2 separate regions of the Mus musculus genome follow, and region 2 is reported to be linked to region 1. Evidence: microRNA targets listed by miRTarBase, many of them from high-throughput screens and not tested one by one. Region 1 holds a microRNA gene; the other region holds the end of a gene's coding sequence.

What was found. The annotated mature microRNA mmu-miR-3098-5p reads UCCUAACAGCAGGAGUAGGAGC and lies in region 1 at 7,383-7,404, opposite strand. An mRNA with a match to its seed (bases 2 to 7 or 8) in the 3' UTR can be bound and repressed. Matches are read on the target gene's strand: a 7mer-m8 pairs with bases 2 to 8, a 7mer-A1 pairs with bases 2 to 7 and ends in A, and an 8mer does both.
Region 2: miRTarBase lists Asxl2 as a target of mmu-miR-3098-5p. Seed matches in the 3' UTR shown: 7mer-A1 at 5,203-5,209.

Annotation. Positions count from the first base shown.
Region 1 is chr6:125,192,019-125,203,210 of GRCm38, reverse strand. Mir3098 (microRNA 3098) reads right to left here and starts at 7,419; the gene lies at 7,333-7,419. It overlaps Gm52878 (a long non-coding RNA gene), which reads right to left and starts at 6,477. Exons shown (of 2, transcript XR_003956366.1): 1 at 5,969-6,477; 2 at 2,715-5,350. It overlaps Mrpl51 (mitochondrial ribosomal protein L51), which reads right to left and starts at 11,011. Exons shown (of 3, transcript NM_025595.3): 1 at 10,778-11,011; 2 at 10,585-10,695; 3 at 8,819-9,988. The coding sequence starts at 10,856. The coding sequence ends at 9,792. It also overlaps a transcript of Ncapd2 not described here.
Region 2 is chr12:3,498,782-3,509,973 of GRCm38, forward strand. Asxl2 (additional sex combs like 2, transcriptional regulator) reads left to right here. Exons shown (of 13, transcript NM_001270988.1): 13 at 1,198-8,071. The coding sequence ends at 3,591. Among named protein-coding and RNA genes, the nearest start is that of Dtnb, 68 kb to the right of the region's middle.

The sequences.
Region 1 (11,192 bases):
GGCTGTAGCAGTATGGATTTGAAGCTGACTAGATTTAAGGGTCCTACAGAGGACAGCAGAGAAGCATCTATGTCTGAAAGAGCCTTTCTGTGTTTGCTTCCCTGTATCCTTCGCTCCCCACCCTGCCTCCCCCATCTCCAAACAAGGACACAGACAACACACGGGTCTTTTTACACTCAGCTTCTCCCTGTGAATAAAGAATTGGGAGACAAAGGTACAAAGGACTCCGGACCAGGTAATTCATTTCTATAAAGAGAGAAATATCACCTTTTGATACTTGAAGAAGGTATAAAGATATGGTGCTCTAATAAGTCTTATGGGATAGTCATATTCTGTCTAACGTGGGCTCCATGGGAATTTTGGGTTTAAATCCTGGTTTGACAAGTTGCCTCTTATAAGTAGGTGTAGTACCTAAAGATAGGAAATTTCACCTGCGGTTCAAAACCAAATAGGGAATATTAGTCACTAACTCCAAGTAGAGAGAGCAGTGATAATCACCTGCTATGAACAGGAATTATTTAATAGAAGTCTGGGGCTCTAGGTAAAGAGCATAACAGATATTATAATAGGTATTAATAAAATAAATGTCTGTGGCTCAAGTTAGAGAGCACCCTAATAAGTCTTACAGGATATTCATATTCTGTCTAACGTGGGCTCCATGGAAATTTTGAGTTTAAATCCTGGTTTGACTTGACAAATTAGAAAAGCCTAAATAGGCTAAAATGTGTGTGATTTTGAGTATTGTGGTTGTTTTATTGTTCCTCTGGGACAGAGGGCAAGCTCCAGGTTTCCTAGTTACCAGCTGAAGGATGTAGGATGCTGATTTGGGGGAAAGGTTTTGTCTTTGTGTTTTTGGAAAAGGTGATGAAGGTGTTTACACCTTCCAGAGTTCTATGGATCAGATTTGATAGAGGGAGACCCCCTGAGAACTAGATTCCAGAGAATCAAACAAAAAGGTTTTCTTGATGATACTAAAATTTTGTTTTGAGATTTATATATTACAGAATATACAGTCTTGGTGAATTTCATCGTCAGACATGCTGAACTGACCTGCCTGAACTCCTGATGTCTTGGTTTTTCATCCAGACCAGATCCAGTGAGGACACAGACATCAGAGACTAATACAATCATTGGTGGGGCCTTCTTAAGGCCAACTAACTCCCCCATTTTCCCTACCTTTCTTTTCTCCTCCCTTTAAAATATCTTAACACCCATACTCAGCTTGAAAAAGTTATGAAGAGTCATTGTACCAGTTCCCTAGGTTTTGGGAGTAGGTCGTCTTTGATATTAAAAATTTGGAAGTACAAGGCTTGAACTCAGTCCTTCTACTGCTGTTATTATAAACAGATCTGAGATGTTTAAGCCTGTGAGTTAAGGGCCAAAGAGGAAATTCATGGCTCTGAGTTTATTGTTAGGGTGTTCTCAGTTATTTTAATTAGAAATGGCTGAGAGTAGTTAACAGACAACAGTCTAGATTACTCCACATAGTTAGTTTTCAAAAACATCAGCAGTCCAAAGAATGTGACATTTAATGTTATTTATTCATTTGTTGTTGAGACCAGTCTATTCCTGACAGCTTTCCCTGTCTTGGATTCAGAGAAGATACTGAGCATCTTTGAGTTACTCCAGCTGTGGCAAAATAGCCACTAGGCAAGAATTGCCTCATTTCATCTACAGACATAATACTGTCCAAAGAAAGGACACAATTACAGGTAAGGACAGCTTGATTCTGCCAAGACAGAGTAGGCTAGTGCTAAATATTCCTGTTTCTCTAAGTCTGTCAGATGACCCTGGCAGTAGGCTGAAGACCGACGCTCCAACGTGCTGAAGTAAGGGACTGTCCAGGTGATCAGCGGTCTCTATGGATTGGCTACGTTTTGGAAGCTGTTTTAGGTTTTCTATATATTTTCAGTTAATATCAGTCATTCTTGGATTTCTGGTGGGGTTGAAAAACTGCATAGTCTCCTAGCCAACCCAGGCTTTTTACTTTGAGAGGACAGTTTTGAGAGGATGGTGTTCAGATGGCATTCAATCTAAAGCCAAGACATAGCCAGATGTAGAATTATAAGTCTTTTAAGTAAGGATAGATGACAAAGGTTCTGTTTAATTAACAAACATGATGGACTGGGTGTTAGGTCTCTTGTACTTTATAAGTTACAAAATAATAATAGTTATGTTCAATTATATCTGAGATAAACAGTCTTTTAATTGGACAGAAAGGGGAAAGTGTTGTGGATAGCCCTGGGGCTAATTATATTTGATGTTAATTCAATTCTCCTATGAGTGGTTGAGAACAAGGAATGAGTCAGCACTCAAGTGATTTCCTGTAAACCTGCTTCCCACCTTAATTCGTAAAATAAAGGAGAGCTGATGATTGGGCAGATAAAAGGGAAGGTGGAGTGGAAGGTGAGAGGAAGAGAAGAAGGAGAAAGCAGAAGAGGGAGAGGATGCAGAGAAGGAGGAAGAAGGAGAAAAGCAGAGCAGAAGCACAAGGCCTGGAGAACCTGCAAGTTTTAAGGGGTCTCATAGATGTGGAAGATTAAGGTAGTGTAGCGGTAGATCTGCCCAATCTAGGCGCACAGCGTGTAAACATATGAGCTGTGTTGTTTTCATTGCTGGGGCATATTTGGGAAATTTACCACAACAATGTCTCATGTTTCTCTTCATGGCCAAAGCAAAACAAAAACAAAACAAAACAAAATAAAAACACCACCAACAAAAAAAAAACCATTTAATTGGGAGAGTGCTTACAATCTCAGAGGTTGAATGCTTGACCCTTAGCAGGGAGGATGGCAGCCTGCAGGCAAGGCACTGGAGCAGTAGTTATAACTTACATCTCATCTACAGGTAGCAGGTAGAAAGAAAGAGACAGATTCCGGGCCTGCCATGGGCTTTTGAAACCTCAAAGCCCACCCCCAACGACACTCCTCCAACAAGGCCACATCTCCTAACCTTTCTCAAAACACTTCCACCAACTAGGAACTATATATATATATTTAATTTTTAAATTACAATCATTTATTTATTGTGTGTCTGTGCAGTCAAACTTTTGGACAGGATTATGTTTATGAATTCATATATGTATATTAATATTGAGACAGTGTCCCCAAGGATGCCCTGGAACCTCCTGAGAGCTGCACTGCTGGTGTGTACCATCGTGTCCAATTAACTCAGTATGGCAGAATGGACTCAGAGTTTCCTGCATGCTAAGGAAGCAGTTTATCATTTAAGCAACATCTACAGCCCAACCTAACCTTTTAGTTTGCTTGTTTTGTTTTTGTTATTTGTTGTTAGAATATAAAATATTGTCTTAGCAATCAGGTATGGTGGCAGACCTGTGTAATCCCAGCACCTGGGAAGCAGAGAAAAGGGGATCTGGAGTTTAAGGCTAGCCTGGACTACATTGTGAGTTCAGAGTCAACCTGGGCCACATGAGACACTCTCCTTAAAAACAAAACAAAACAAAAAAGCCCAGCGTGGTGGCGCATGCCTTTAATCCCAGCACTTGGGAGGCAGAGGCAGGCAGATTTCTGAGTTCGAGGCCAGCCTGGTCTACAAAGTGAGTTCCAGGACAGCCAGGACTATACAGAGAAACCCTGTCTCGAAAAACCAAAAAAAAAAAAAAAAAAAACCAAGCCAGGCATGGTGGCACACTCCTTTAATCCCAGCACTTGGGAAGCAGAGGCAGGCAGATTTCTGAGTTAGAGGCCAGCTTGGTCTACAAAGTGAGTTCCAGGATAGCCAGGGCTACACAGAGAAACCCTGTCTCGAAAAAACAAAAAAACAAAAAACAAAAAAACCCCGCCACTTTCAAGAATGTCAGTGTTTTGAGTAATGTGGCTATGAGGATCAACTACAGGATTTATTATGGCTTCTTCAGCCTCTGATGGGCTGAATTCCTAATCACTGCAGAAGCCTCTTTATTCCTACACAAAAGGAACTATTACCAAGCCAATTTCTGAATATCAAAACCCCCTCTGACCTAGGAGCTGTCTGAAGGAACCATTACCTAAGCAATTCTCAGCCAAACAAGGCTTCCTAGTTTGCCAAGTATGTCTCAGGACTAAGTTATGCAAAGGCTCTGTGCATCCTCTGGAAGGACCACTCAGAACACCTCAGATAACAAGCACTGACTATTTATTTACAAAAGCCTATATGTTATCACTCGGGAATTCATGCCAGATAAATTTCTGCTACACCAGTGTTATAATCTGTTTCTATTAACTGATTTCCGGCTGTTCGGAAACCCTGTGCTCTCTGACTAGCATTTACCACGTCCATCGTGTCTCCACACAATCCCCAGAGAACCCGGTATGGGCTAAAGCCACTCCCCAGCCCTTATTCCACCCAAGGAGCAGCAACTAAACCAGGTCTGCTTCTGTAGACATGTCTATTCCCCACATTTCAGTGAGACAGAATCATATAGGATTTGGCACTTTATGACTGATTCTTTGATCTAACATGGTGTTTGTTTGTTTTTGTTTTTTGCTTTTTGTTTTCAAGACAGGCTCTGTGTAGCTGTGTGTTCCTGGCTGTCCTGGAACTCACTCTGTAGACCAGGCTGGCCTTGAATTCAGAGATCCACCTGCCTCTGCCTCCCAAGTGCTGGGATTAAAGGCATGCACCACCACTGCCTGCCCATCTAACATGTTTTAAATATTCATCTGAATGTGGCATGTATGGGTACTTCATTCCTTTAGTAATTGAATAATAATTCACTGTACAACTGTTCAAAATCTTGGTTACTTTTTTTTTTAAATCAATTGCTGGACATTTGTCCTTTTAAAACATTAATTTATTTGGGGGGCAGGCATGCACATATGGAAATGAGATCAGTTTGCAAGAGTTGGTTCTCTCCTTCTTCCATGAGGGATTAATTAGTTCCAGGGACCAAACTCAGGCGTCCTTCAGACTCACTATGTATCTGAAGAAGGCCTGGAACTCCTGATCCTCCTGCTCTACCTCCTAGGCACCTGGCCCACGGGGCTCTGCTAGCAGGTAGGCATTGGTTTGGTTGGGTTCCTCTTGTGGCCACCATAATGGCCTGCACTAGCATGGCCCTTTCTGCTCTTGTGGAACAGACACGCTTCCATTCTCTTGGGTGACACCTCTGAGTGACATTACCGATCCATACGTAACTCTGTGTTTAGCTTTTTGGGCAGCTGTGGATTTCCCAAAGTGGCTAGATCATTTTACTAAATGTAGGTTTCCTCGTGCTCTGACTCTTAACTTCTCAGCTTATCTTTAGGCACACAAAGTAGTTCCACTAACAAATACTACTTGTAGCCTTGCTGTGTGCTGGCTCCATGCTATTTCTCACATCTGTGCCATTTTGCTCTGCATCATTTGCCTGAAAAAAAAAAAATTGTTACCTCCCTCTGCACCCCCTCCCCACTTTTAACATTCCTTTAGGATAAATTAGTGGTGATCTGATCACCTACAGGAAGCCTTCCCTGCCCTCTACCTGCTCCCCTGGGGTTGGTTAGGGACTCCTTCCTGCCTGTGTCTATATAGTCATTTCCCATTGAATTCCTAGCACTGACCCTTTCCAAGACCTACTTCAAGCACTTCAATCCACAGTCACACACACACACACACACACACACACACACACACACACACACACACACACACACACGTGCATGCATGTGCACACACAATTTTCTCACCCCCTTTTAAAAACAAACAAACAAAACAAAAACAAAAACCTCATGTGGGACTGGAAAGCTGGCTCAGTGGTTAAGAGCTGCTCTACCAGAGATCCTAAATTCAATTACCAGGAGCCACATGGTGACTCATAATCATCTATAATGAGATCTGGTGCTCTCTTCTGGTGTGCAGGCCTACGTGTAGGCAGAACACTGTGTACACAGTAAATGGATAAACCTAAAAACAAAAACTCATGCTGCAACAATATTTTTCCCACGCAATTACCGAATTCAGATATGCATCTTGTTTACATACGCACCCTGTACCTGACGGATGAAATCTTTTTACAGGCAGTGGTGTAGCCTTGGTTTGTGGTGTATATGCCTCCAAGGTCCTTCCACACAATGATTCAGTGTTTGTTGAAGGGAAATGTTGCATTCTTTTTCATTACAAAAACAATCCAGCTCTGTGCTTGAAAAATAAGACTTTTTGTAACTGACAGCAGGAAGAATTTTATACGGGCTTCTGGGGCTGACTTGTTAGTTCCTTCTTCACTAACACTTGTGAGATTGTATTAAAACATTTTCCTCTTCCTTTTCTACCTTTCCCCCTCCTCTTTGGTTTCTCAAGACAGGGTTTGTGTGTGTGTGTGTGTGTGTGTGTGTGTGTGTGTGTGTGTGTGTGTGTGTAGCCTTGGCTGTGCTGAAACTTGTTCTGTAGACTAAGCTGACCTTGAGCTTATAGAGAAACACCTGCCTCTGCTACCCAAGTGCTGGGATTAAAGGGGTGACCACCGCGCTTCATGGCTTTTTTGTTTTTTCTTTTCTTTTTTTTTTTTTTAAAGATGGGATTTCACTGTGTAGCCAAGCCTGGAACTTGATATGTAGACCAGGCCTGCCTCTGTCTCCAGGGATCAGTCCTGGGTTCAAAGGTTTTTGCCTCCATGCCTGAAGACCTCAAGACTTCTTAGCCTCGTTTTATCAACCCTTGTTATTTAAATTTTGTCCTTTGGGATCAAGTCTCTAAGCAACCAAGCCCAAGAGAGGCTGAATAATAAGACCTTGTGCCAAAAGAACTTAGCTGGGGCTGTGGAGAGATGGCTCAGAGGTTACAAGCACTTGCTGTTCTTGCAGTGGCCCTGATTTGGTTCTCAAAAAAACAAAAACAACCCAAACTACCAATTGACTAAGTAGATGTGAGTGAAGATGTCTCAGGCGTGTTAGCCCACTGCTGAATATGGCCTCGTGACAGCAAACTAGATTAACCATCTGAAGAAGAAAACCCAGAGAAAATGATTTGAAGTTGTTTTAGTCATTGAGTTTAAGAATGGACTGTTACGTCATAAAAGATCATTGACACAGAACTTAGATTTAAATCAAATAGGATAACCACCCTAATTTTTCTACCTTCAGAGCTCACTTGAGTCTACAAGCAATTCATTTTCTTGGATTTGCAATACTTTTAACATTTTTAAATTTTATTCTACATCCCAACCACAGCTTCCCTCTCAACCACAGCTTCCCTCCCTCCATAGTCTCTCCCTGCCACTTTTCCTCCCCACACCCAGATCCCCACTCCCCTGTTCTCCCCAGGTCAGGCCTCAGTGGCTATCAACCAGCCATGGCATATCAAGTACAGTAAGACAAGGCACCTCTTCTATTAGGGCTGGGCAAGGCAGCCGGTTGTGGGGAAAGGGTCCTAAAGGCAGGCAGCAGAAGCAGGGGATAATCAGAGCTCCTACTCCTGCTGTTAGGACTCCTCCCAACCACAATGTGTGGAGGGCCTAGCTCAGTCCCATGCAAGCTCCCTGGTGGGCAGTTCAGTTTCTGTGAGCTCCTAAGGGCTCAGGTTAGTTGATTCTGTGGGTTTTCTTGTGATGTCCTTGACCCCTCTGGCTCCTACAGTCCCTCCCCCCACTCTTCCAAGAGAATCCCCAAGCTCTGCTTTGTTTGCCTGTGTGTCTCTGTAATACTTTTTTGTTTTGTTTTGTTTTTTTCAAGACAGGGTTTCTCTGTGTAGCTCTGGCTGTCCTGGAACTCACTCTGTAGACCAGGCTGGCCTCAAACTCAGAAATCCTCCTGCCTCTGTCTCCCAAGTGCTGGTTTTAAAGGCGTGCGTCACCACCGCCCGGCAATACTTTTTTATAAAAAGAAGTAGGTATTATATAGCCTTGGACATGGCCACTAAATATGAGGATTAAACAGTAGTTTGAAGCTGGATACAAGGACTCACACATATAATCTTGTCACTCTGGAGGTAGAGGCAGGAGGATGGGTCCCAGTTTGAGCTATAAGAGTTCCAGGCCAGCCTGAGCCTGACTTTGAGAGACTATAGGTTTTTGGTGTTTGTTTGTTTGTTTTTGTTTTTATGTTTGTTTTGTTTTTTCGAGACAGGATTTCTCTGTATAGCCGAACTCAGAAATCCACCTGCTTCTGCCTCCTGAGTGCTGGGATTAAAGGTGTGCACCACCACCGCCCGGCTTATTATTATTATTTCATGTTTTACATGCAATAATACATGCAGCTATGCCTGTGCACATGTGCATGCCTGTCTCCATGGGAAGCCCAGAAACTGGAAGTATAGTCAGCCTTGAGTCACCATGTGTGAGCTGGGAATTAACCTGGGCAACCTGCAAGAGCATCCCTGGGAGATGGCTGGAATCATCTCTCCAGCCCCAAGACTGTTTAAAAAAAAAAAAAAAATGCAAGAAAAATTCCCTGGATTACCTTTCTGTCATCTCCAGACTTCTCACTGAATTGATTTCAATTGAAACATAAATTCAAAAACCTGTGGAAAATGTGGTGGCTTAAGCCTTAGATCCAACACTAAGGTATTATCTCCATGAGTTCAAGGCTAGCCTGGTCTACATACTGAGTTCCAGGATAGCCAAGGCTACATAGAGAAAACCCTATCTCAAAAAACCAAAAGAAGTAAATGAAGAATGTCATAGCAAAACCTATTATTTTTGTAATATATACTAACAAAAGCAAAGTGCAGCAGAGGGTCTATAGCTCACTATAAAGTACTTGGTATATCCAAGACGCCAGCACTATGCCATATAGAAGAGTCTCTCAGGGAAGCCCACACTCATGCTCTCAAGTGTTTTACCTCTGAACACCTCTCTCATAGCCCTGATGCTCAAACCTGTATTAAAATATCTTTCTTTTTAAAAAAAGATTTATTTAATGTATGTGAGTACACTGTAGCTGTACAGATGGTTGTGAGGCTTCATGTGGTTGTTGGGAATTGAATTTAGGACCTCTGCTGCCTCAGTTGACCTTGCTCTCTCTGGTCAACTCCACTTGCTCTGGTCCAATGATCAAAGACTTTTTTATTATTAAAAATAAGTACACTGTGACTGACTTCAGATGCACCAGAAGAGGGCGTCAGATCTCATTATGGGTGGTTGTGAGCCACCATGTGGCTGCTGGGATTTGAACTCAGGACCTTCAGAAGAGCAGTCAGTGCCATCTCACCAGCCCTAAAATATCTTTCTTAAATGACATTTTTTTCCCCTAAAAAAAAAAAAAAAGCAAACAGGGTAGCACACACAGGGGTAATACTGGGTGTGATCTTTAACACTTCATAAAACTGGGCATGACTCAAGGTCAGCCTCCACAAAACTGCCCTATTCAAGAGGATGGGAAATGCTGTGGTACTCAGACAAGTTCCCTAACTTATAACTGATAAGAGCAGTACAAAGTGTAATTTCACTTTCCTAGTTCATTTTGGGGTGGCAGAGTCTTTAGAAATAGCAGCTACACTTCCAAGGGCCTGGGCGGCTAGTGGCAGAGTTCCCTAGAATGAGCAAGTCCCTGGGTTTCAGCTCCAAGATTACAAAAAAATAAGATAAAATAAATAAAAATAAATTCTTTAAAAACTTACACGAGGTGCCAGTGTCAGAAAGTGCCAGCAATAAATGATTGTTATAAAGGCCACAAGCATAACTGGGCTGTAAGTAATAGTAACAAAAGATCATGTGACTTAGGAACGAGGCAGACGTCAGAGTGCATGAGTAAATGTAGCACTGGGCATATCAGATTCCAAAGGAGCCCCATTTTTTTATTACATCGAGCACACAAAGCTCTCTCCTTGCTGGGATAAGTCCTGTTCCCCTTCTCCAGGGTGACACATTTCCCGTCCTATCTGTACTTCCCATGTCGGTTAAAGTGTTTGTAGAGATAGCTGATCCGTTTGTTAAGGTTATGCAGGTCCTCAATGAACATCCTGTTTCCCACAAATTTCTTCTTTCGGACACAACGCTGCAATTCATTTCCTCTCCAGCCTCGAAGCCATACTGGGCCCTTGATCAGTTCTTTTGGGTGCTTCTCGAAATTCCCTGTAACGTGACAGAATATATACTAGTTTCAAGAGAAGAGAAGTCAGCCTAGCCCAACTAGGCCTTCAACACAGTTTCATCTCCCTGATCAGAACTACTGACAGACAAGGCACACACCAGTCTAGTACAAGGGACAGAGTCTTTGTAACACTTGCTCTTCCAAAGGATTCCCCAGCACTCTCAACTGAAGGTTCACGACTGCCTGAAAGGGAAGTTCTAGGAAGTCACCCTGAACCTGCAGGCATTGCTTGAGCAGTACACGGTACACATTCAGAAAACACAAAAATCTTATTTAAAAAAGAAGAAAGAAAGAAAGGAGTAAAGACTTTGCAGCCAGAAATGTCTGGGTTCAAATACTGACACTCCCATTTACTCGCTTTGGCCCTCAGACCTGCCCACTACTGTGTTAGTGAGACTGAGTCCCGCACTCCTCACTATTCTCCGCATCTCAGACTGGTCTTGCCTGGCTTCATCTCCCGTGTAACAGGTTTGTGCCCCCAGGCTTGCCCCGGGCACATTACTATTCTCTCCACAAATAAAACCGAAAGAGTCAAGAGAGCATACTAATCCTTCAGAAACCAGGAATCGCGTCCTACCCAGGATTCCAATGTTGTCGTAGACGCCAAACAGAGCCCTCTTCTCGTTCCAGCGATCAACCACTTTGGGAGGTGGAAGAGTGAGCCTTACGAAGGCCAACCGTGGGACGCCTAGGGAAGGACAGAAGCATGAATCAGCACTGCCCAGTGACAAGCCGTTAGCCGGCCGTCCTACTACACTTAAGCCACTTACCCAGAGAGAAGCTTCGGCATGCCGAGGGCACCCAGCCCCACAGTCTCCTACTTGCCGCCCAAGGGACACTCCCTGCCATTACTCTAGCCTGTCCGCCTCAGTAGGGGCAGCAAACCAGCCGGAAAAATGGGGAGCGGGTGTGAATTCCAAAGCCAAGACACAGATTACAGTCCCAGGCGGGACTCACACGGTAGTGACAGTAAGAGGAGCCATTTTGGGCCTTACCCAGGTAGCTTAGGGAGTCATCCCAAGGTGGCTCGCACAGCCACAAGCCCCGCCCTCCAAGTTCCGGCCTGTGAGGCGCGTCCAGTCAAATACTTCCGGTTTAGCCCCTGGAAGAATGGAACCGCTGCGGTGTTTGTTGTCGCAGGAAAGGACGCCCCCAAACCGAAATTCCGTTAAAATAAGCTCTCTC
Region 2 (11,192 bases), not on the chromosome of region 1:
AGGCCAGCCTTGAACTAACACATAGGTTGGACCTCTGAATGGCCTTATACTTGGATATTTGGCTTGTATCATTATAAGGTTGTTTTTCTCCAAACAAATTTCCTGTGTTTTATTTAACAGTTTTATCTATTTTGTCTTATAGTCTCTTCTCTCTATTAACAAGAAGTAGCAGTTGCTACTTTCTTTCTTCTTCTTCTTCTTCTTTTTTTTTTTTTTTTTTTTTTTTTTTTTGGTTTTTGGTTTTTCGAGACTGGGTTTCTCTGTGTCCTGGAACTCACTCTGTAGACCAGGCTGGCCTTGAACTCAGAAATCTGCCTGCCTCTGCCTCCCAAGTGCTGGGATTAAAGGCATGGCCACCACGCCCGGCCAGTTGCTGCTTTTCTTATCCCCACAGCTTCTAACCATTATGTGCTGAGTAAATAATGCTACCTATGATTTTAGAACGGATTTCTCAGGTATAGGGAGTTGATTTCTTAATACTTTTTGAATTATGAAAAATAGCAATATTAAAATTTATAATTGAGGAATTTATAGAAAGATGACATGCTTTTCTTATAATTGATCACTTAATTTTTTTAATTAAATACTCTATAATATTAACGATTTTTTGCTTCTTTTGATTCCACCAAATACTGAAAGGCATCGTATCTGGATGCATATTCCTTAACTTAAGACAACAATCTGTTTTTTTTTTTTTAATGTTATAAAAATAAGTGATTTCAGAGTAGATGTAGTGGCACATGCTTTTGTCTTTAATAGAGGAGGCAGAGGGATCTGTGACTTAAAAGCCAGTCTGATCTACATTGTGAGTTCCAAGACAGCCAAAACTACATAATGAGACCCTGTCTCAAAAAAAGAAAAAAAAATTTTTTGAAATTTAGTAGGTTTTCACAATTTTTTCTTTAGTATAATACATATTTTTCTAGCCGTTCTGATCTGTAAGCTAGAGGCTGGAACCCAAAACCACATACATTTTTAAAATCGAGTATAGAATTCACCAGGGTTGAAAATGACTGGCAGACAATATATGCATGGACCTTGATATGGGTGGATAGATTAAGGTTGAACCTTAGACACAATGTGTGTTGTTAGTTGTAGAGCAGCCATATGTGCCATGGGTGCTTTGTGTTAGTTATCTGCTCTAGTCTTACAGCTGAAAATTGACCTCTGCCTTCCCCCATCCCTTACTTTTTTTAGATCCCTGTCTCCAGAATCTCCCCGATGCTGTTTTCTACATCACAGGTCTCTCCCAGGGCTCGTTTTCCAATCTCCATCACTAGTCCTTACAGAACAGGAGCCAGAACTCTGGCAGACATCAAAGCAAAAGCCCAGTTGGTCAAAGCACAAAAGGCAGCAGCCGCAGCAGCTGCTGCAGCTGCTGCAGCCGCCTCAGTTGGAGGGACCATTCCGGGACCTGGCCCTGGGGGTGGACAAAGTCCAAGAGAGGGTGGTGAAAGGAAAATTGCTGGAGGAGGAAGTGCAGGCTCAGACCCAGTCAGTACAAATGGAAAAGGTCCCACACTGGAACTGGCCGGAACTGGAAGCAGGGGAGGTACGAGAGAACTTTTACCCTGTGGTCCTCAACCTGAGACCAATATGCCAGGCCAAGCACAGCCTCCTGGTATCTCTGGAGCACAACTACAGCAAACCTCCTCAGTGCCTACGGGACTTGCCAGCAGTGGAGCATGCACAAGTGTCCCATTACCAGCCCACATAGAAATATCAAACAGTGAAAAACCAAACCTCCACAAGGCAACAGCCACAGCAGCCTCTCCTTGCCACTTGCAAGACCCTAGGAGTTGCAGACTTGAAAAAGCTCTGTCTCCAACAGGGCCTCCTCTGATCTCAGGAGCCTCAACTGTTTATTTTGTAGCTGATGGCACAGTTGAGCCCAAAGCAGGTTCTAATAAGAATGCACCAAAGCCTTCAGCCTTAGCAAAGACAACTGCTCCTGCTCCACTAGATATGACTTCCTCTCCTGTGACAACAGCCAGTTTAGAAAAACTCCCTGTACCCCAGATCAGTGGAACTGCAACATCTACTGGATCAGCTCCATCCTCAAGCACTTTGCCAGCAGCTTCTAGCCTTAAAACCCCAGGAACTTCTGCAAATATGAATGGACCCATTTCAAGAACAAGTTCTAGTATCCCTGCTAATAATCCTTTAGTTACTCAGCTGCTCCAGGGCAAAGATGTTCCCTTGGAGCAAATTCTGCCTAAGCCTCTCACCAAAATTGAAATGAAAACAGTTCCACTGACTACAAAAGAGGAAAAAGGCATAGGGATATTCCCTGGTATCAGTGTAATGGAAAGTAGCAGCAGAGAGGAAGTTAATGGCAGGCAGGCCCATCTGGCTATCCCGCAGTTGGGGAAACCCTTGCAAAGTAAACAGCTTTCCCAGGTTCCAAGGCCAGTTTTCACTGCTAAGGACCGGAAGGACCCCTGCATTGACACTCACCAGTACCGAGAAGGTCTAAGTAAAACAACGCAAGATCAGCTCTTTCAGACTCTTATCCAGAGGGCTCAGAGACAGAGTGTTCTTTCATTTGTACCGCCCTCTCAGTTCAACTTTGCTCACTCAGGTTTCCACTTGGAAGACATCTCCACAAGTCAGAAGTTCATGCTGGGTTTTGCTGGCAGAAGGACATCCAAGCCTGCAATGGCAGGTCACTATTTACTTAATATTTCCACCTATGGCAGGGGTACAGAGAACATTAAAAGGACCCATTCTGTAAATCCTGATGATCGATTTTGTCTAAGTAGCCCCACTGAGGCGTTGAGAATGGGGCATGCAGATTATAAAAACACAACTGGAGAAATCAGCAGCAAAGAAGATGAAAGTGATGAAGATCGCGTAGGTGATGAACAGGAGCCTATTTCAGTGAAGGAGGAGCCATGGGCTTCCCAGAGTTCTGGCAGGCATCCGCACCATGGGGAAGCTTCATCTACCAATGATTGTTTAGCTAGCAAGAATGGTAAGACTGAGGCACCAGTGAGTGAGCAAACCACTTTAGGCCAGGAGAATTACATATTCTCTAGAGGCCAAGCATCTGATGAAAAGAGCCTGCCTAGAGATTTTATTCCGGCAGCACATAAACAGATGACTCATGCTGTGAGAGGTAAGACAGTGTGTAGCAGCCCTGAGCTTTTCAATTCTACTGCTCTTTCTCTTCCCGCAGACAGTCCCACACATCAGCCTCTACTCCTTCCACCACTGCAAACCCCCAAATTGTATGGAAGCCCCACACAGATAGGGCCAAGCTATAGAGGCATGATCAATGTCTCCACCTCATCAGACATGGACCATAACTCTGCTATACCAGGCAGCCAGGTATCTAGCAATGTAGGGGACGTCATGTCGTTTTCAGTGACTGTCACTACCATCCCTGCCAGTCAAGCAATGAATCCCAGCAGCCATGGCCAGACAATTCCTGTTCAGACTTTTCCTGATGACAATAGTATCGAGGACACACCATCAAAATGTTACTGCCGGTTGAAAGCCATGATCATGTGCAAAGGATGTGGAGCTTTCTGCCATGATGATTGCATTGGCCCCTCCAAACTCTGTGTCTCCTGCCTTGTTGTTCGGTAATAAGACTGTAGCGTATGTAAAGGAGGGAAGGGAAGGCTTAAAAAGTCATGTTCTTGCACCCTTTTTAAATCACAGAAATAAAGTTTCAGTTGTCTCAAGAGACATTAATCAGGAATACAGAATGCAGGTCTTCACATTTACAGGAAGAGCACCTTGTATAGTAGGTCTGAGTCAAATAGGACTGAATTGGTGACAAAGTTTGCACTTACAAAATCATGTAAATATGTCACATTTTGTTTTAACATTTTTTTCAAAGTATTTAGGTAATGATGTATTAACTTCACATTCAGATTTATGTTCCATTTCTTTTGACTGAGAAAAGTTGAACGGTATGCATGGTGAAAGGAAGCTGTCTGCCTCTGACCTTTCCCCAGGCTATGAAAAGGAAAGTGAGGGAGCGATCATAGTGCTGATTATGTCTTCACAGACTGGCTCAGGTTCTTCACGAAGAAGATGGCCTTTGTGGGATTTAATTCGGGGTTTGCTCATCCCTTTACTTTAGGTGGAACTATTTTCAGTGAAATTTTCAAAAGGTATTAACAGCACAGACAGTGTTTTTGACCCTGACAGCCCTGGCTTAGCTTTTGGCTTCCATGAATCAGTACTGTTGTTAAAAGCAGAGCTCTGCTGTTAAGAGGTTCTGTTTCTAAGGGACTGCTGAGTTAGATTAGTATATACGTGGCAGTAGTTCAGCAATAATACATCACAACATTGCATCAATCATGGGCTCCCACCAATAAACACTTTACGGGTGGGTGTGTGTGTGTGTGCGCGCGCGCGCATGTGCGCATACTGTGTAATGTTGGAAAAGGGATGAAATTGAAGAAACTGAAACTTCACGGAATTTGGAAGAGTGGTTTTAACATGGGACAGAAAATAGTCTTTTCCTATTCTCTCAATCCATTTTTAGGTAGAAAGGGTCTTAAGTGATACTTATGCTTTGGCATCCAGAGCATAAGAGATGAATGCAGCTACCCTGTGCCATCCTACTATAATAAATTTTGCACCCACACACAAGTACACAGTTTGCTGTTTTAGAAAGTGATTCTACAATCTCGGCTGTCAGGACAGCTGGGATGCTTACTGTGAAAGGGTCTTGTGAGTGACTAATGGAATATATGGCTGTGAGATTTTGCTGTTTTTCTTTCCTTTTGATTTTTTTTTAATCCTCCCAGTACTCCAGAGACAGAGACAGACCAGTCTCTGAGTTCAAGGCCAGCCTGATCTTCATAATGAGCTCCAGACAACCAGGGCTATCTAAGAAGCCTTGTCTCAAAACAAAAATAATCACAAAAACCCTAAATAAATAAAAGAAGTAAAAAAAAACCACACACACACAAGGAGCTGGAGAGATGGCTCAGTGGTTACGAGCACTGACTGCTCTTCTAGAGATCCTGAGTTCAATTCCCAGCAACCGCATGGTGGCTCACAACCATCTGTAATGGGATCTGATGCCCTCTTCTAGTGTGTCTGAAGACAGTGACAGTGTACTCATATACATAAAGAAATCTTTTTTTAAAAAAGAGAGAAAAGAAAAACTAGTTGGTGGACATGGTGGGTGACACGCCTTTAATCTCAGCACTTGGGAGGAAGAGGCAGGTGAATCTCTGGGTTAGGACCAGTATGGTTTGCATAGCAAGTTCCAGAGTACACAGTGAAACACTTGTCTTTTTTAAAAAACAAAAGCTAGCTACGAATTTTTAAAGAAATACTGTTTAAGTTAGAGATGGTTTAAAGAAAAATAGTTCACCAAAATTTAGTATTATATAGTCTGTATTGTTTGGTTTCAAGTCTCCTAATTTGAAGTATGTGGTGTAATATTGCAACCCAGTATAGGTGTATTTCAAAAGCTATTTATAAAACTCAGAACAATTTAACTTGCTAATTATATCACCTTCCAGATTGGAGAAAGGAGACAGTAAGGTATTTTGCCTGCCTTGTGATGCCCTCCCCTGACCACCCTACCTTTTTGCATCAAACACTGGGAATGCTTCCTCAGTCCCTGCTCCAAACTATGAAGCTCACCCTTCATTTTTCCTCCCTGCTATTGTGGACCTAAGCAATTACAGTTTAAATTCTGTATACAGCACTAGTCAAGACAATGTGATATCCTTCCACCTTCCCCCTTTATTTCAAGAAATGCATAGATAAGGGAGAAGAAAGGCTTCAAGGATTCATGGTTAAGAAGTGTGTATGTTCTGAAGTGAAGGACCAGTAAGAAATACAAGCCAGGCCGGGCGGTGGTGGCGCACACCTTTGATCCCAGCACTTGGGAGGCAGAGGCAGGCGGATTTTTGAGTTTGAGACCAGCCTGATCCATAGAGTGAGTTCCAGGACAGCCAGGTTTATACAGAGAAACCCTGTCTTGAAAGAGCCAAAAAAAAAAAAAAAAAATACAAGCCAGGATTCTGCTCCCAAACCTTCAGGACAATGGGTAGTCCCCATGGGACCTTAAAAGACCCATAGCTGAGTAGTCTCCCTTGTCTACCCTGCTTTAAGAGGGTGAATGACGGAATAGACTTTATGGTGTCAGTGAGTAGTTTGTATTAGAATAATTTTCCTATTTCCTACCTTGCTTTCTAGAAAGGCTTTTGCTCCATACTTCCCTTAATCTCAGAATGGATGGAAAAGAGGAAGACATTAGGGACTGTCAGGTCCATTTAAAGAGGAAATTACATTGTTACTCTTCTTGATCTCCTCAGGCTATGTAAGTCTGAAGTACTGTTCTTCTCCACTAAGTAATACCCAACTAATTTCCATTTAAAAGTATTCCAAAAGCAGCATTTACCAACAATTTTTTTAGATTGAAAATATATTAAATAAGAATCCATCTAGTCTATTTGTGTTAAAACATGCTTTCAGATGGAAGACGAACATTCATCTTATAAATGAACAGAAAATAAACTAGTCTGGCCCTTTGAGTTTGTCACTCCAGTAACTATTAACACAGATTTTGTCATGGCCTATCATTTCTTTTACCTTTAACTCAACTCTGAACTGATTGAATAAGTGCTAAGCTTATTCTTTGGGCTTTGGGTGGCAATTTTCAGTGAGGTATTAAATATATCTGATACCTGATGGGGCTGTGCCCCATCCAGCCCTCAAAGTAGTCTCTGTAAATCGCTGGGATAGTATTCATATTGTGTCATCTCAGTGTTATTTTTAAGTGTTCTGAGTTGCCTAAGTAGAACACTCTCTGAATCATAAGGACTTTTTGTTTTGCTTTTTGAATAATCACCATTCTTTAGCTCAGTAATATGGGGGTGGGGGAGCAGCACAAATAACCTGGAGTTGTTTGGCCTTGGTTCCTTAAGTCCTGTGTTCAAGACACTGAAGCTATCTCCCATGTTCTGTGTGAGATTTCTGAGTAAGATCTGGCAAGTGAGGGAGCTTTTCTTGAGAGGGGAAGGCTACATTTCTATGGGTATAGAAATGGGAATATTTGCGAGCCTATCTCAGATGTACATTAATAGACCTCACTGCCTTCCGGGTGAAGGTGTGTTGTCCTACATAGAACGGTCCCTTCAGTTACCATTCTGATTGCTCTATGCTGCTTTCCTCCTCTTAAAGTTTCATGAGCTCTTGGGTTAAATGGTTTGTTATGAGCAGGCTTTCCATTACTCATTGTTCTGCGATTTATTTTAGAGATTGTCCATGAGCACTGAACAAGGAGAAGAAGTTTCTTGTTGCTTTACAACAGTGTGTGCTAAGTGCTGGACTTGGCCATGGGTAGTCTGCAGCTCAATTTATAGAACAGTCCAAAGAGACTTTGCAAAACATGATAGGCAGGGACCTTTTCCTCTGTGTTTCAATACCTATATACCTATTGAACAAAGCAGTAGGTAGACATTTCCTAAAGTTGAAGCAGTAGCTTCATAGAGTCTTGGTTACTTTATTTTTTTTAATGCTTTACATTTGATACAACTATTGAAGATCAATTTAAAAATAACTTTCCAGTAATATATTTTAAGTAATATATATTTTAATATCTATGTAAAAAAGTGACAGTGGAGGACTGAATTTCTCATGTATACTATGTTTAATGGTAGGGTCTCACTGTTAAGGCACAAATTATTTCAAAGGAGTTGCTCTAAAAACAGATTATTTCCCGGAAAAAAAAAAATGCAATAATGGGAATGATTTGGGGCTTTTATTTTTTATTTTAAAAGAATATTGACTTATTTAGCACAAGCTATTTTTCCCTCTCTGGTGATAAGGTTTGTACAGACTGGTTTGGTAAATGCTAAATTTTTGTCTTTTGCCTTTTTAAAGGAATTGTTACCATTGGAATTGAGGGTATGTACAGAGAAGTTGGTGTCAATGCCATTTAATAAGTCATATTTTTTCACAAATAAGGAAAAATCATTTTAATGAGAATTTTAAGTATTTGCAATAAATATGTGTATATAGATTGTATGTATTCATATATTATTTTTCATTTTATTATTAAGTAAAAGATAATTAAAAGTGAAATTAAAAATCTTGTAGTTTTTGATGAATCTGGAGATCTAACATCTGAATGTAACATGGGTAAAGGCCTTCAAATAGTTGCCTTATACAGTTATGGGAAGGTCACCACAGACTGGGAAAGAGTAAATTGAGGAAACTTGGCCATAAGTCAGGACAGAGTATTTCAGAACTTAAGGAAAAATATGAAAACATGATAGCTCATCTCTGTTGTGTTTTCACCTTCACCAGTTTCCTAACCATCTAACAACACTGGAAGAGCGAGGAAATCAGAGTAGTCCCTTGTAGTGTGTCTGTGGCTCCTTTTAGCATCCCGGAAGGTAAGGAGACATCTTGGGCTTTCACAGCTATTGATGCTTTGTTACGTGTTGGTCATCACACACCAGGCCCTTGGGATGCTTAAGAACCAACCTCAGAAACACAGAAGGCTTGTGTTCTCTCTCCCAGTCTGTCTCCGAGTTGAGTTTCATAGCCAAATTCCTGTGCTTGACTGCTCGGGCGGTCAGAACCTAGATCTGTGTTAAGAACACCTGTGCCTTGGTTAGGTTTTTTTCAAATAATTAGGAAGATGGCTTGTGTCAAGAGCATTTAGGGAAATGAGCAGTAGGCAGACTTTTTGAAGTTAAATGTCTTTGTTCCCACACCTGTATTACTCTTGAATTAATGAGACCTCACTGTGTCAAATAAATGGTTTTGGGATATAATGGGTAGAACAGAATACGTACATGGATGGTCTTGGAAATATAGATCTCCTGGTCTATAAAATTTGTAATGAAGTTCAGTGATAATAAAAACACCTGCTCTTCCTCTTGAGTGCTGTAAAGGCATGTGCCACCAAGCTAGGCTACCTAGCATTTTCTTAAAGTAACTTGAAATTTCCAACATCTGAGTTATGTAAAAACACTGAAGTTAGTCTAGCCATCTAAGAGACAGTGTTACAGATCTCAACTAAAAGCACTATTCTAAAAAAGATTTTGGGGACCATGGAAAAATTCAGTCACTAAAAGCACTTGCTGCCCAAGCATAATGACCTGCCTGCAGGACCCTTAAACCCATAGAAAGTGGGTGTCTGTCATATTTGCCTGTAATACTACCTCTGGGGAGATAGAAAAAGGGCTGATCTTGGAGGTTTCCCAATCAGTTAAACTCCAGATTCAGAAAGAAAAGCCTATATCTCAAAAAATAAGGTGGAGCATCAACTGAAAACATTGCCACATGAACCTTTGTCTAACCTTTGTCCTCTTTGTGTGCCCATGCAGGCAAGTACACTTGAATTACGTATGTGTGCACACACAAATGAAATGTTTACTCTCGGGGGACATCTGCATCATAATCCCTAATCATAAAAGGAAGGAAGGTGAAATTAGCTCCCATCTATACTTAACAATTTACCACACTTACTTTGTAAGCAAAATCCATATCCTTTCGCTCCCAGAATCTTAGAAACCTATTTCATTGCTTTTTACACAACTTTATCTCAACTGACTTTCAGTCAAATTGAACATTTCAAGACTTTTATATACAAATCCTGTTACTTAAGTATCTATTGGGTACTTACTATGTGCTCAACCCTTACAAAGTGCTGGTTATGCAAGGATAAGAAAAATTCACTTAGGACTGGAGAGATGGCTCAATGGTTAAGAGCACTGGCTGCACTTTCAGAGGTCCTGAGTTCAATTCCCAGCAACCACATGGTGGCTCACAACCATCTGTAATGGTATCTGATGCTCTCTTCGGTGTGTCTGAAGACAGCTACAGTGTGCTCATATACATAAAATAAATCTTTAAAAAAAAAAAAGATACTGCCCATAGATGACAGCAGCTAATGTGGACTTGAGGTGCCACATTAATAAAATATATTTTGGGGCGATTGAGAGGCTAAATAAACAATGGGGGTAAATGCAGCTTAAGAGAATTTTTAAACATTGCATGTTCTTAATCTTATGTCCTTAGGTCACAGAATTAAAATGCACTTCATTCCTTTTCCTTAGGCCCAAGTCTTTTTTTTTTTTTTTTAAGGACTTTCTGCATGGTAAGAAGTCATGATCAGTACTTGGCTCTTGAGTTTTCCTTACTTCTTGTCTTTTAGCAGATAATTTGGATTCACAACTTTCTATATGCCAAAAGATGTGCATTTGCACTTCAAACTTTAGTGTATTTCACCAAGTGAGAGTTTTCGGCTCTGCCCAGGACACCTTTCACAGAAGATAGACTACAGACTGAGGAATGAGTGCTTCCATACACAGTAACATTCACTTTTCCCTAGAAGGGGACTTTCCAGAAGGCAACAAAGAGAAAACCTGAGAAAGCCATATGATTGGTTATGGAGGCCACCTGTGACTAGATAGTGGGTTCTTCCACGAGCCTCGATCTCATTTTTCTTGATACTCAAAATGAGGGGCAGATATAAAAAAGTTTGATTTTCATCTTAACTGGAAAATTTAAAAGGAACCATTGGGGAGAAAAAGAATAAACCTGGGATGTAGTTTTTAAATGGACTTAAACTTTAAGTTGAGTGCCTTACTCTTTTTAAAAGTACTTTTTTAAAATTGCAGTTTTATTTAACATGAGTTGCTATGAGTGTAGCATGGAATTTGGTTTGAGACATGGACTGAAAGAAAAGTTTAATGTAAATTATGGCAGCTTTTGCCACAGATCAGGGCTTAGGACTGTATCTGAACTTGGCTGGCATCATAAATACTGTATTAGGCCAACCTGAGCCAATACTCAATTTTATTAAATATAATCAAGATTCATCTTTATTAGGTAAGCCTAATTAGGAACTGAATTCACTCATACAAAAACATCTGGCCGGGAGTGGTGGCACACTCCTTTAATCCCAGCACTCGAGAGGCAGAGGCAGGCAGATTTCTGAGTTCGAGGCCAGCCTGGTCTACAGAGTTGAGTTCCAGGACAGCCAGGGCTATACAGAGAAACCCTGTCTCAAAAAAAAAAAAAAAAACTGAAGATATGTTAGAATTCATTTTACACAGCCTCTGCCCTTCATATGGAACGTGAAATATAAAGTTACTTTTAAAACCAAACTAATGTTTTCAGGTAACCTAGAGTTTATAAATGAAATTGGGGGCTGGAGAGATGGCTCAGTGGTTAAGAGCACCGACTGCTCTTCCTAA